Linked DNA regions of Macaca fascicularis. The protein of the gene in region 2 interacts with the protein of the main gene of each other region in a pairwise test. Links are inferred from orthologs where the notes say so. Each region holds a gene or a part of one and is shown on either strand. Other genes may lie near its edges. The genes, in order: ZBTB43, AP1M1 and ENTR1.

Region 1 (3,704 bases), on a different chromosome or scaffold from region 2:
TTCACATTTTAAAATTCCTGAAATCAGCATGTGATCACCAGGTGGCAGTTTTAATAGTTGTCACAGCCTGAGGCAATGACAGCGAACTGCTGAGGTCCTCATCAATGTTCTTGATGACACAAAGGATGACACGCTAGAAAAAATATGGACACACTCTGAACTGAAAAGTATAAAGAGTAGAACCTGGAATGTTAACTTTAATGAATACTTTAACCAATTTATTCTTATTTTTCCTTTGTATATACATGCATTAGCATAGGCATTGATACCATTTTTTAGTGTCTAAGTTTAAAAGTGTTTTCAATAATAAAAAGTCTAAACGATAAGAGCGCATTAAGCCATAGTTTAATTAGCAGGGTTTCTCTCTTCCTTAGTGGTACATGAAATAATCAACAGCATCTAGCATTCAATGAAATAAACTAGTAATTCAGTTGCGATATCTTATTAGAAAGTTTAATAAACTACCTTAAAGGCAAAGAGCTTAAATAAGAGATTTTAAAAAACAAAAAACCCACAAAGGCATCCCCCATAAGAAAACTCAAGAAATAACACATAATTTTGCATTATAATAAAAGGGCTATTTTTCAACCTTATGAGTTTTCTTCCTGTGAAGAGTATAATTATCAAGTATCCTACTTATGAGCAGATTCTTGCACTGATTCCAAGAAAGGCAGAGGGAAGAGAGCCAGGGCAGAAAGTAAGTAGAAAGCTTGAGGAAGATTTTAACCATATCCATTTAACTAAACTTTTCTAAGAACCTCAGCTGTACCCACTGCTGTAAAGAGAGTAGGAATCAATAAACCCAGGTTCAACTAAATGTTCCTAACAACTACAGAATGAATTTTGAAAAATTACACGTAAAAGGAGCTTATTGGGCCGGGCGCGGTGGCTCAAGCCTGTAATCCCAGCACTTTGGGAGGCCGAGACGGGCGGATCACGAGGTCAGGAGATCGAGACCATCCTGGCTAACACGGTGAAACCCCGTCTCTACTAAAAAATACAAAAAACTAGCCAGGCGAGGTGGTGGGCGCCTGTAGTCCCAGCTACTCGGGAGGCTGAGGCAGGAGAATGGTGTAAACCCGGGAGGCGGAGCTTGCAGTGAGCTGAGATCCGGCCACTGCACTCCAGCCTGGGTGACAGAGCAAGACTCCGTCTCAAAAAAAAAAAAAAAAAAAAGGAGCTTATTGGTTTCAGGAGTCTCCAATGAATACTGTTTTTGTTTTTTTTGTATTGTATAAAATATACATAAAACTTTAAGACTTAACAATTTTAAGCATTCTTAAGAGTCCAATTCAGTGAAGTACATTCACAATATTGTGCAATCATCACAACCCATTTTCAGACTTTATTCATCATCCCCCAAAACTCTGTTCTGTATCCATTAAGCACTAACTCCTCTCTCCAGCCCCTGGTAAACTATTCTACTTTCCGTCTCTTAATTGGTTTATTCTAGGTACTTCATTTAAGTGCTCTCAAACAATATTTGTCCTTTTGTGTACGGTTTATTTCTCCCGTGGTACTTTTGTAAAGCAAATAATAAATCCCCGATTATTAGGTTTCTTACAATTTAACCGAAAATGCTGACACAGTCTCTGAACTAAGCATGCAGCTCTCCCAGAAACTCTGCTACTGTTCCAGTAGCCCCAAAGATCTCAGTCTGATCCTTCTTTAGCCTGTAGACAGGCCAGTTAAACAGCTGTAACTCAAAGAGCAGGCTCCAGAGATCCCTGGAGACCATCCCGTGGTTAAGTGGATGGAGTGAAGGGATTTGGGAAGCTGTGCAGGCCTGAAAAACCACAGGCGAGAAAAGGCTAGGACTCATCAAGCTGCTCTGGCCCCAAAATGGGCCTCCTGTCTCCCTGACAGACTCTCCTGCACTCTGACACTTATGTTGGGCGGCACCTGTCAGAGCTGAGGCCAAACTGCGGTCGAATCACTGAGAGTGTCACCAGTGCAGGGAGCTTCACGGGGTCATGAGTCACCTTCCATGGCTCAGAGGTCTGGGCAGCCCTGCCCTACCCAGACAAACTCAGCTAGGAAACAGAAACAAGAGGAAAAAAAAAAGTTGGAAGAAAGAGAGAAAAACAGACAGATGGCCAAAAAGCTAGACTGACAGGCCCTGAATTAGAGTAAGGGCTGAGTGGCAGAGACAGGGTGAACAGACACAGAAGCAAGGTGGAGACAGATATGAAACAGGATCCATATACCCCGAGAAAGACAAAGTGGAGAGAAATATCAGGTTGACAGGGACCTAGCTGAAAGACAAAAAGGACAGGTTACAACAGGTGACAGAGACAGCAACCGGGGTGAAACAGAAGGGAAAAGAAGATCAGAGAAGTCCAGGCGCAGTCTTTCTGCCAGCTCGGCTCTTCAGGCTTCACGCATTGGTGGCTCGAACCCGAGGCCGTCAAGCCGCGCCCACCCTACGCCCCGAAAGGCCAGCGGACGGACGGGGGCAGGATCTCTAAGCGCTGTGGCCGGCGGAGCTCCGCTGCCGCGAGGGTGACCTTGGGCGAGAAGCTGCCCCAAAGGCCTTGGTATCGCGGTCTGCGCGCCGTGTGGGCAGGAGACTGCGGGATTCGGAGCTGGGGCGCCGGGACCCCAACCTTCCGCGCGGGGCTTTAGCATGCCGGTCCACGGAATGGGCCTGGCGGGGCAAGCGGCGCGTGCGTCGGGGCCTGCAGAGGAGCCCTTAACTCCCCCACCAACTTCTCCTCCCTTAGCCTTGCCGCCCGTGGTCCTGGCCACTCAGTACCTGCCAAGGGCTCAGCGCTCACATCCCCCGTCCAAGGGATCCTCTCCGCCGCCGGCGCAGGCCTGTTCTAGCCTTCGCTGCCGCAACAGATTCAGCCTGTGCCTCAGCCCCCGGAAACGCTTCCCGGTCCCGCCCCCCGAAATTGACAGTGCTTCCGGGGGTGCGCCAGAGAGAAAGAGGAGTGCGCATGCGGGATTCACTGTCTGAGCTGGGCGTCCGGAGAGAGCGCATAGGTAGCGGGCGCCTGCGCAGTACAGTCTGGAGCGGGTCAATCAATTTTAGGGACTGACTAAGCTGTTGAAAATAGGGGAGCAGATACCGAGTTCTAAACCTTCTTGAAACCTTGACATAGGCCAGGCGCGGTAGCCCACGCCTGTAATCCCAGCACTTTGGGAGGCCGAGGCGGGAAGATCGCTTGAGGCTGGAGTTCGAAACCATCCCGGCCAACATGGTGAAATCCTGTCTCTACAAAACATGCAAAAATTGCTGAGTGTGGTTACTGGCGCCTGTAGTCCCAGCTATTTGGGAAGCTGAGACAGGAGAATTGTCTGAACCCGGGAGGCAGAGGTTGCAGTGAGGCGAGATCATGCCACTGCACTCCTGCCTGGGCACAGAGCAAGACTCTTAACAACAACAACAAAACAAAAACACCTTGACCTTCTCCGTCTCTTCTCTAAACAAACAAACGAAAACCTTGACCTCAGTTTGCCTGGCGGAGATTATCTCCAAATCCATTTCTGCCTCCACAGCACCCATCCAGCTTTTTGGCATGTAGTAGATGTTCAGTAAACGTTCAATGAAAGGACCAGTGCCTTTCCGTGGGCTGCGTTGTGCTGGGCACTGGGGTCACACAGATGGTGGGACAGAAACGATCTCTCTAGCTTCCAGTTCTCCCACTCCTTCCCCAAACCCTCCATCCTTCTCACCCCTTTCTTCCCCCTTGCCCCAC
Region 2 (3,744 bases):
GGGAGGCCGAGGTGGGTGGATCACCTGAGGTCAGGAGTTTGAGACCAGCCTGGCCAACATAGTGAAACCCCGTCTCTACTAAAAAGACAAAAATTAGCCGGGCGTGGTGGCATGTGCCTATAATCACAACCACTTGGGAGGCTGAGAGGCAGGAGAATTGCTTGAACCCGCGAGGCAGAGGTTGCAGTGAGCCGAGATCGTGCCACTGCACTCCAGCCTGAGTGACAGAGTGAGACTCCATCTCAAAAAAAAAAAAAAAAAAAAGCAAAAAGCCTCTCTTGGCTGCTTGCTCTGTGCCTTGTGCAAGAATCCTTCCAGCCCAGGATCACTTAGTAGTCCTCAAACATTCTAGTTTGCTTTTCTAGAGGTTCGGTCACATTTCTATCCTAAGCAAAGACTATATAATTACCGAGTTGCAAAAATCATCTCTCCAAACGCCAAAACGGAGATAGGAGGGAAAATAAAAGATGTGAGAGGCAGGCATCCTGGGTAAACCACTCTGATATTGCAGGGTTGGGATCCCCAGGGTACTGTGATGGCTAACTGGAACAGAATGCAGGTATTTCTCCAAAGCCCAAGATTTCATAAAAGCAAATTAGATATGATTCAATGGATTAATCAAGGGCCACCAGTTGCATTACCGACTACTAACTTTGCAGAAATGAAACACGGTATGCTGGGTCAAGGTTCAGTGAGACTGGTTTTCTTAACATTCCAGGCAATAAACAGGCATGCTCATTCACTGATAAAAGTTGACAATGACAGGTGGTGACTGTTGATAAGGTCTGATTGCCATTCAGAAAGTTTGACCTCTTTCCAAGTAACCACGGCCTTACCTCTCCCTTTTGAGCTTATCACAATTGGTGACTGTACACTTGTTTCATAGACTTCCCCACTAGACTGTGAGCTCCATAGGGCTGGGTCCCAGGTCGGTTTCACCACCAGGCTCTCTCGCCTAACTCGGCCGACGGGAGGCGGTTTTCAGCTGCTCTGGCTCCATAGCTCAGCCTGGCAGCGGCCAGTGGGTGCCCTGATTTGGTCGGCCCCGCCTCCCAGGGCCTTACTTCCGGGAGGCTTCAGGCGGGAGCAAGAAACATGGTCACATACAACGTAATGCGCCTGCGCAGAGTCCGTCCTGCGCCTGCGCATTCCTGGCAGCTCCTCCCGGACCGGACATAACGGTCCCCGCGCGGCTCCCCGAACCGGAAGTGGAGGTGAGCTGTCGCGGGCGGCGCCCGGCCTTGCTCAACGCCTGGCAGTCCCCACCGTCGCTGCCGCTGCCGAGGCCTCCTGCAGCCACCATGTCCGCTAGCGCCGTCTACGTGCTGGACCTGAAGGGCAAGGTAATGAAGGCTCCCCACCCTCCCTGTTGCCAGGCAACCGGCGGGGGCCTCCGCCCGCGGGGACCCACCCTGTTGCTAGGTAACCGGCTTATGAGCCCCACCCTGGTGTGAGGCAAAGAGGCCGGTAGACCTCACCTGAGAGCCCCACCCTATTTCTGGGTAACCGGGCGGGGGTCGTAAGTGGGTAATCCACGCCCTGTTGCTAGGTAACGCGGTGGGCTGCAGCCACCGCGTTGCCAGGTAACCGACTGCACCGCCCTCTGCTCCCAGGCACCCGGGCCAGAGGCTCTGGGCTCGGTGGAGGACCCAGAAGCGGGGCCGCAGCCGGCCTTGGAGCCAGGCAGGGTGTCCAGGGGCTGCGCGACCCTTGGCCGGGGGTGGCGAGGCGTGGCGGGGACTGGGTGCTCTCCAGCCAGTCCCGCCCTCTCAGGGCGTTGCAGCTTCTGTTTATCGTGCACTTTCTCTCAGGAGGAATTTCTCCACGTTCATTGCGATAGTGAGTTACAAGGGTTAGGTGAGTGGATGGTGATCACGAGTACCGTTTTATAGAGGGAGAAACTGAGGCACGGAGAGGTGAAGTAACCTGACCAAGGTCACAATGGTCACAGAGAAGTAGGAAGTCTAGGAGTCCGATCCAGAAGCATTTGTTTATTTAGCTGATATCTGGGGAGCACCTACTAATGCCAGGCAGGATAGTAAGCCTGGGGTCGATTTGTGTTTAGCAAAAAACAATCCTGCTTTTTTTTTTTTCTTTTTGAGATAGTGTCATGCTCAGTCGTCCAGTCTGGAGTGCAGTGGTGCGATCTCCACTCACTGCAACCTCTGCCTCCTGGGTTCAAGCAATTCTCCTGCCTCAGCCTCCCAAGTAGCTGGCATTACAGGCACCTGCCACCACGCCCAGCTAAATTTTGTATTTTTAGTAGAGACAGGGTTTCACCATGTTGACCAGGCTGGTCTCGAACTCTTGACCTCAAGTGATCCAGCTGTCTCAGCCTCCCAAAGTGCTAGGATTACAGGCGTGAGTCACTGTGCCAGGGCTCAACAATCTGTGTTCTTATGACGTTCACAGGCTGATTGGGGAGATGGATACCGATCTCCAAAAACACAAATAAATGTCAGTTGCAGTGGGGGGGTGGGGCGGATGTGTTATACAGACGGTCAGCCTCAGCCAGAGGATGAGAGAGGGTTTTCCTAAGGAGGGGTGACAAATGGACCTGAGATACCAGGGAGCTGGACATAGACTAGAACCCGGGCATCTTCCCCAGAGGATCTGAGAAAACTGAAAGAAGGGATTGTCCCCGCCTTTTAGAAATGGTCCTCTGCCTTCTCCCAAGTCCATCCCAGGTACAAGGCAAGTGGCTGCCTGGCCTGTTGCATGTGGAAGCAACAAGCACCGGTCCAACAATGTTAAACCCAACATTGGTCAGTGAGAGAAACAAACGTGGGTGTCAGGTCCTAGGTGAGGCGGGCAGGGGTGAGCCCTAAAGCAGCTGAGAGTGAAGAGGTGAAGTGGCTGCCCCTTCCTGTCCCACCCCACCCCCACACTTTCCTGAAGTCCCTTGAGTGGGTGCCTGCCCTGGAAGCCAACCAAAGCCAATAACTGGTGAGATCCAGTGCTGGGTTTCCTTCCCCCGCCTTCTTGGAAGCAGGGAAGACACCCGTCTTAGATCACGCCAGGGGCTGGGTGTGTGCAGTGTACCCTGAGTCCTGGTGACATGAGTCTTGCTTCCGCACTGGCCACTGCCTCCCCAGAGGTGCCAGCGGGCTGCCTGTCTTGGCTGGCTTATTCCTTCAGCAAACATTTCATGAGCACCTAGGATGCACCCTGTCCTGTGCCAGGCATAGGGTGTCCATTGGCACCGTGGCTGTGGTGTTAGGGCTGAGCTCAAAACCCATCTCTGCTGCTCAGCTGTGTGACCTGGGACAGGCACCTTCTCTCTGAGCCTCGCTTTCCTCACTGGTCAAAAGAGGCTTTCATGGAGTTATTGTGCAGATTTGCCGAGCAGATGTGTGAGACAGGCTCAGCACCACCCATGGTCCATGTTAGCTTTCCCAGGCCTCTCGGTCTAGCAGGGGAGTCCTCTAGAAGCAGAGACATTACCACACAGTTGGATCCAGGCAGCCACAGGGGCAGGAACAAGGTCCCAAGTCCTGCAGTTGCTCAACCTCGTCTTTAGCCAGTGGAAGGTGGAGGTGGTTATGAAAGGCTCCCTGGAAGAGGGCAACGCCGGAAGTGGGTTTGGAAGGTGATCAGGCACGATCTGGTGGAAAAGAGGTATTGCAAGGGGCAGCCTGCTGGGGCCGCTGAGCCAGAAGTCCTGGCTAATGCTGAGATGGGAGAGAGGGACCAAGGGGACCACTTCATTTCCAACAAGGAGCCACCGTGAGGAGACCATAGCCC
Region 3 (3,694 bases), on a different chromosome or scaffold from region 2:
TGGAGGACTATCCCTCATCACTCTAGTCTTTCCTGTTATTTCCTATCACGAAAGGCTGCTTGTTTACTCCAAAGCATTTACGCGATTGCCGATATTTTGTTCACGCTCCAGTCTGTATCCATCTCCTGGAGGCAGCACCTCCGCACCCCTGAAACAGCGCTCGTTGTGTGGGGAGGCGCGATGCCTGTGCTGTCGGAACAAAGTTCCAGCGTGGGGAAAGGCAGGCCCGGTCACTTGGGCGGGAGGGGCGGTGGGGACGGAAAGGGTTCTTAAACGTCAGAGATCAACGGACGCTCGAGCGCATCAACCGAGAGCCTGGACCCTCGTGTCAGAACCCTGCGGGTCTAACAGAGCTGGGGCCCCACCGGCTCAGCCTCCTGAGGGAGCACGCGGCAAAAGCACGGGGGCAAAAAACGCGGGGCAGCGATGAAGCATGGCCTCGGACAAGGCCCGTCGACCCGGGAGGTGAAGGGGGGGAGAGGACCCAGCAGCCGGGGAGAGAGACAGATAGGACTGCATCCCCGGGCTTGAGGCGCAAGGCAAGGCAGGGCCCCCGTCGCCTCGGGGACCACACCAGTGTCCCGAAGTGCGAGCCCGTCGAACGGGCGCCATGTCGCCTGTAGAAACCAAAGACGGAGCGTCCAGAAAGACTCAAGCCGCCCCGGTCCCAGGCTGAAGCCTGGTTCGCCTTTGGCTCACCTCAGCCGCGAGCCGCTCCAACAACCCGACCCCCGCAGCAACCGCGTAGCCACGAGCACCACAGCCGCCATCTTGCGTCTCCGCCCCTGCTTCTGTCGTCACTTCCGCTTCCGCCCGCGGATTCCCCGCCCCCTTGGGCGACAACCCGAGGCGTTCCGGCGCGCGCTTCCGGTGCTCGGAGCGGAAGCAGCGGCTAGAGGCTCGGAGGAGCGGGGACGGCCAAGCGGCAGGCGACGGGGGCGGGCGACACGGACCGCGGCCCGGGCGGAGCCGGGGCCATGAAGCCGCCGCTGCCGGGCTAGGCAGGTCCTGCCCCGCCTGGCCCGCGGCGATGTCGGGCTACCCGCGCCGCCCGGGCGCCACCCCGCTGTCCCGAGTCCGGAGCCTCGCCATTCCCGACGGTGAGCGGGGCAGGGGCCGAGTCCAGCGGTTCAGGTGGGCGGCGGCCGCCCCGGCGCGCAGTAAAGTCGCTGTTGTCGTTGCTTCCAGCTCCAGCGTTCTATGAGCGCCGGTCTTGTCTCCCCCAGCTAGACTGTGAGCGCCCCCATGGCAGGGACCTGGACTCCCCCTTCTTCGGCATTCGGCCGGCCTTTATGTGCTATGTGCCCAGCCCGGTGCTGGCTTCCGTGGGAGACACAGGTGAGAGACGAGGGCGCCGGCCCCGGGGACGCCTCCAGTTCCCGCGCCACCTGTGGCACCTCCGCTGCCGCAAGAGCTCGTCCATTGACCCAACAATGAGCACCGCGCTCACTGCGTGCCAGGCACTCGGAATTCAAAGGCGGAGTCCCCTGCTAGGAGCTCACAGTCTGGTTGTGGGGAGACCTCCCCCCAGACAGACAGTTCCAGTTCAGGATGGGTAGTGCCCAGGGAGCACAGGAGCCGGCCCGCTTTCCTCGTGGGGCTGAAGTGGGGGGGCCTTCACCCCAGTGGGCGGTGATTGGAAACGGAGCTGGAGCATTCCATCTGCCTCCACAGCCGGGCAGCGGCCAGATCTGGTTCATCCTCGTTCTACCCGAGCAGAAGTGCTGCTGGGTGCCCGGGGTGTGCGGGAGTGTTTGTGTGGCGCTGCCAGGGTCTGAGGACATTCGGGGGGTGTCACAAGACAAGAGGACACGCTCGCTCCGACTGGGCTTCAAAACCTACTGAGGAACCCCTTTCAGACCACAGATACCAGGGCCAGTCTGTGTGAGTCAGGCCATCTCCAGGGTCACAAGTCCGGGAGCTCGTGTTTTTTAAAGTTCTCTTGGCCCACCGGGCGCGGTGGCTCATGCCTGGAATCCCAGCACTTTGGGAGGCCGAGGCAGGTGGATCACGAGGTCAGGAGATTGAGACCATCCTGGCTAACATGGTGAAACCCTGTCTCTACTAAAAGATACAAAAAATTAGCCGGGCGTGGTGGTGGGCACCTGTATGTCCAGCTACTGGGGAGGCTGAGGCAGGAGAATGTCGTGAACCTGGGAGGCGGAGCTTGCAGTGAGCTGAGATTGCGCCACTGCACTCCAGCCTGGGCAACAGAGTGAGACTCCGTCTCAAAAAAAAAAAAAAAAAAGGTTCTCTAGAGGTTCTCTAGGCTGTGAGAACCACTGCAGTGGAGACTCCATGTGCAACAAAACCAAAACACAAATGTGAGGTCATAAAGACTTCCTGCCGTCATGGTGGGTGACATTGTTTCTTTGCAGATTTTGGCTATGAAAAGGGGAAATATTCTAAGCAGAGCCCGTCAGGAGGCCACGAGACACATTTTGGAGGTAGAGTAGTTCAGTCACCTTTTCTTCTTGTCTCCATCCAACACAGTGCCAGGCACATGTCTGGTGGCAGGACTGTCGATATGACGGGCTACATGGTGTATCTGGAGCCCAAAAGAGCAGGTGGGGGTGGGATTTCAAGGGTTCACTCCTACCCTAGAGTAGGAGCGAGGTGCAAGGGCAGAAGAACCTGAGTGAGGGAACGTCAGGGAGTGGGGAAGTCCCACCTCAGGGGCTGGGGCCACAGGAGCCGGCATTACATGGGGCTCGCAGCTGGGAGGGCCAAGCGTGGCTGCTTAAGTCCCCGGAGGGTGGGAAAGCGGTGAGAGGGAGAAGAGAAAGGTGGGCGTTAGCTAGGTTACCTAAGTAGGAAAGTCGGGAAGAGGGTCAAAGAGCGCCAGATCCCCAGTTTTGCAGCACCTGAGGAACTTGTCGTTGCTGCTGCTTTTTTTTTTTTTGAGACGGAGTCTCACTCTGTCGCCCAGGCTGCGATCTCAGCTCACGGCAAGCTCCGCCTGCTGGGTTCTTGCCATTCTCCTGCCTCAGCCTCCTGAGTAGCTGGGACTACAGGGGCCCGCCACCACGCCCGGCTAATTTTTTTGTATTTTTAGTAGAGATGGGTTGTCACCGTGTTAGCCGGGATGGTCTCAATCTCCTGACTTCGTGATCCGCCCGCCTCGGCCTCCCACAGTGCTGGGAGTACAGGCGTGAGCCACCGCGCCCGATCACCTGAGGAGCTTTGAGAGCTCCCAGCACAGGTTGACTTCACACCAGGGAACTGGGTGTGTGCAGTGGAGTGGCCTGGGTCGTTTTAAAGCTCCCCAGGGGAGTTTTAGTGGGCGGCACAGTGTGGGAGCAGGGGCCGAGGGGTGGAAGGAGAAGATTTCAAATGCAGACGCACGTCCGTGTCACTGCCCACTTTCAGCCACCTTCACGCTTTTTTTTGAGACGGAGTCTCGCTCTGTCGCCCAGGCGGGAGTGCAGTGGTGCGATCTCGGCTCACTGCAAGCTCCGCCTCCCGGGTTCACGCCATTCTCCTGCCTCAGCCTCCGGAGTAGCTGGGACTACAGGCGCCCGCCGCCACACCCGGCTAATTTTTTGCATTTTTAGTAGAGACGGGGTTTCACCGTGTTAGCCAGGATGGTCTCGATCTCCTGACCTCATGATTCACCTGCCTCGGCCTCCCAAAGTGCTGGGATTACAGGCGTGAGCCACCGCGCCCGGCCTCCTTCACGCTTCTTAGTGCCACC

What was found.
Region 1: the proteins of AP1M1 (region 2) and ZBTB43 interact in binary tests that used the Homo sapiens proteins (3 or more experiments, as listed by UniProt). The two-hybrid records come from large-scale screens. The link is inferred for Macaca fascicularis from reciprocal best matches to the Homo sapiens genes AP1M1 and ZBTB43.
Region 3: the proteins of AP1M1 (region 2) and ENTR1 interact in binary tests that used the Homo sapiens proteins (3 or more experiments, as listed by UniProt). The two-hybrid records come from large-scale screens. The link is inferred for Macaca fascicularis from reciprocal best matches to the Homo sapiens genes AP1M1 and ENTR1.

The regions. Positions count from the first base shown.
Region 1 is NC_088389.1:17,206,147-17,209,850, forward strand, and holds the start of ZBTB43 (zinc finger and BTB domain-containing protein 43), read right to left. Parts: upstream 2,881-3,704; 5' UTR 2,756-2,880; intron 1-2,755. UniProt on the Homo sapiens protein: May be involved in transcriptional regulation.
Region 2 is NC_088393.1:16,519,186-16,522,929, forward strand, and holds the start of AP1M1 (AP-1 complex subunit mu-1), read left to right. Parts: upstream 1-1,204; 5' UTR 1,205-1,301; coding exon 1,302-1,343; intron 1,344-3,744. UniProt on the Homo sapiens protein: Subunit of clathrin-associated adaptor protein complex 1 that plays a role in protein sorting in the trans-Golgi network (TGN) and endosomes.
Region 3 is NC_088389.1:2,956,668-2,960,361, forward strand, and holds the start of ENTR1 (endosome-associated-trafficking regulator 1), read left to right. Parts: upstream 1-869; 5' UTR 870-1,030; coding exon 1,031-1,100; intron 1,101-1,188; coding exon 1,189-1,338; intron 1,339-3,694. Other genes in the region: PMPCA (mitochondrial-processing peptidase subunit alpha), read right to left, coding at 700-770. UniProt on the Homo sapiens protein: Endosome-associated protein that plays a role in membrane receptor sorting, cytokinesis and ciliogenesis. Involved in the endosome-to-plasma membrane trafficking and recycling of SNX27-retromer-dependent cargo proteins, such as GLUT1.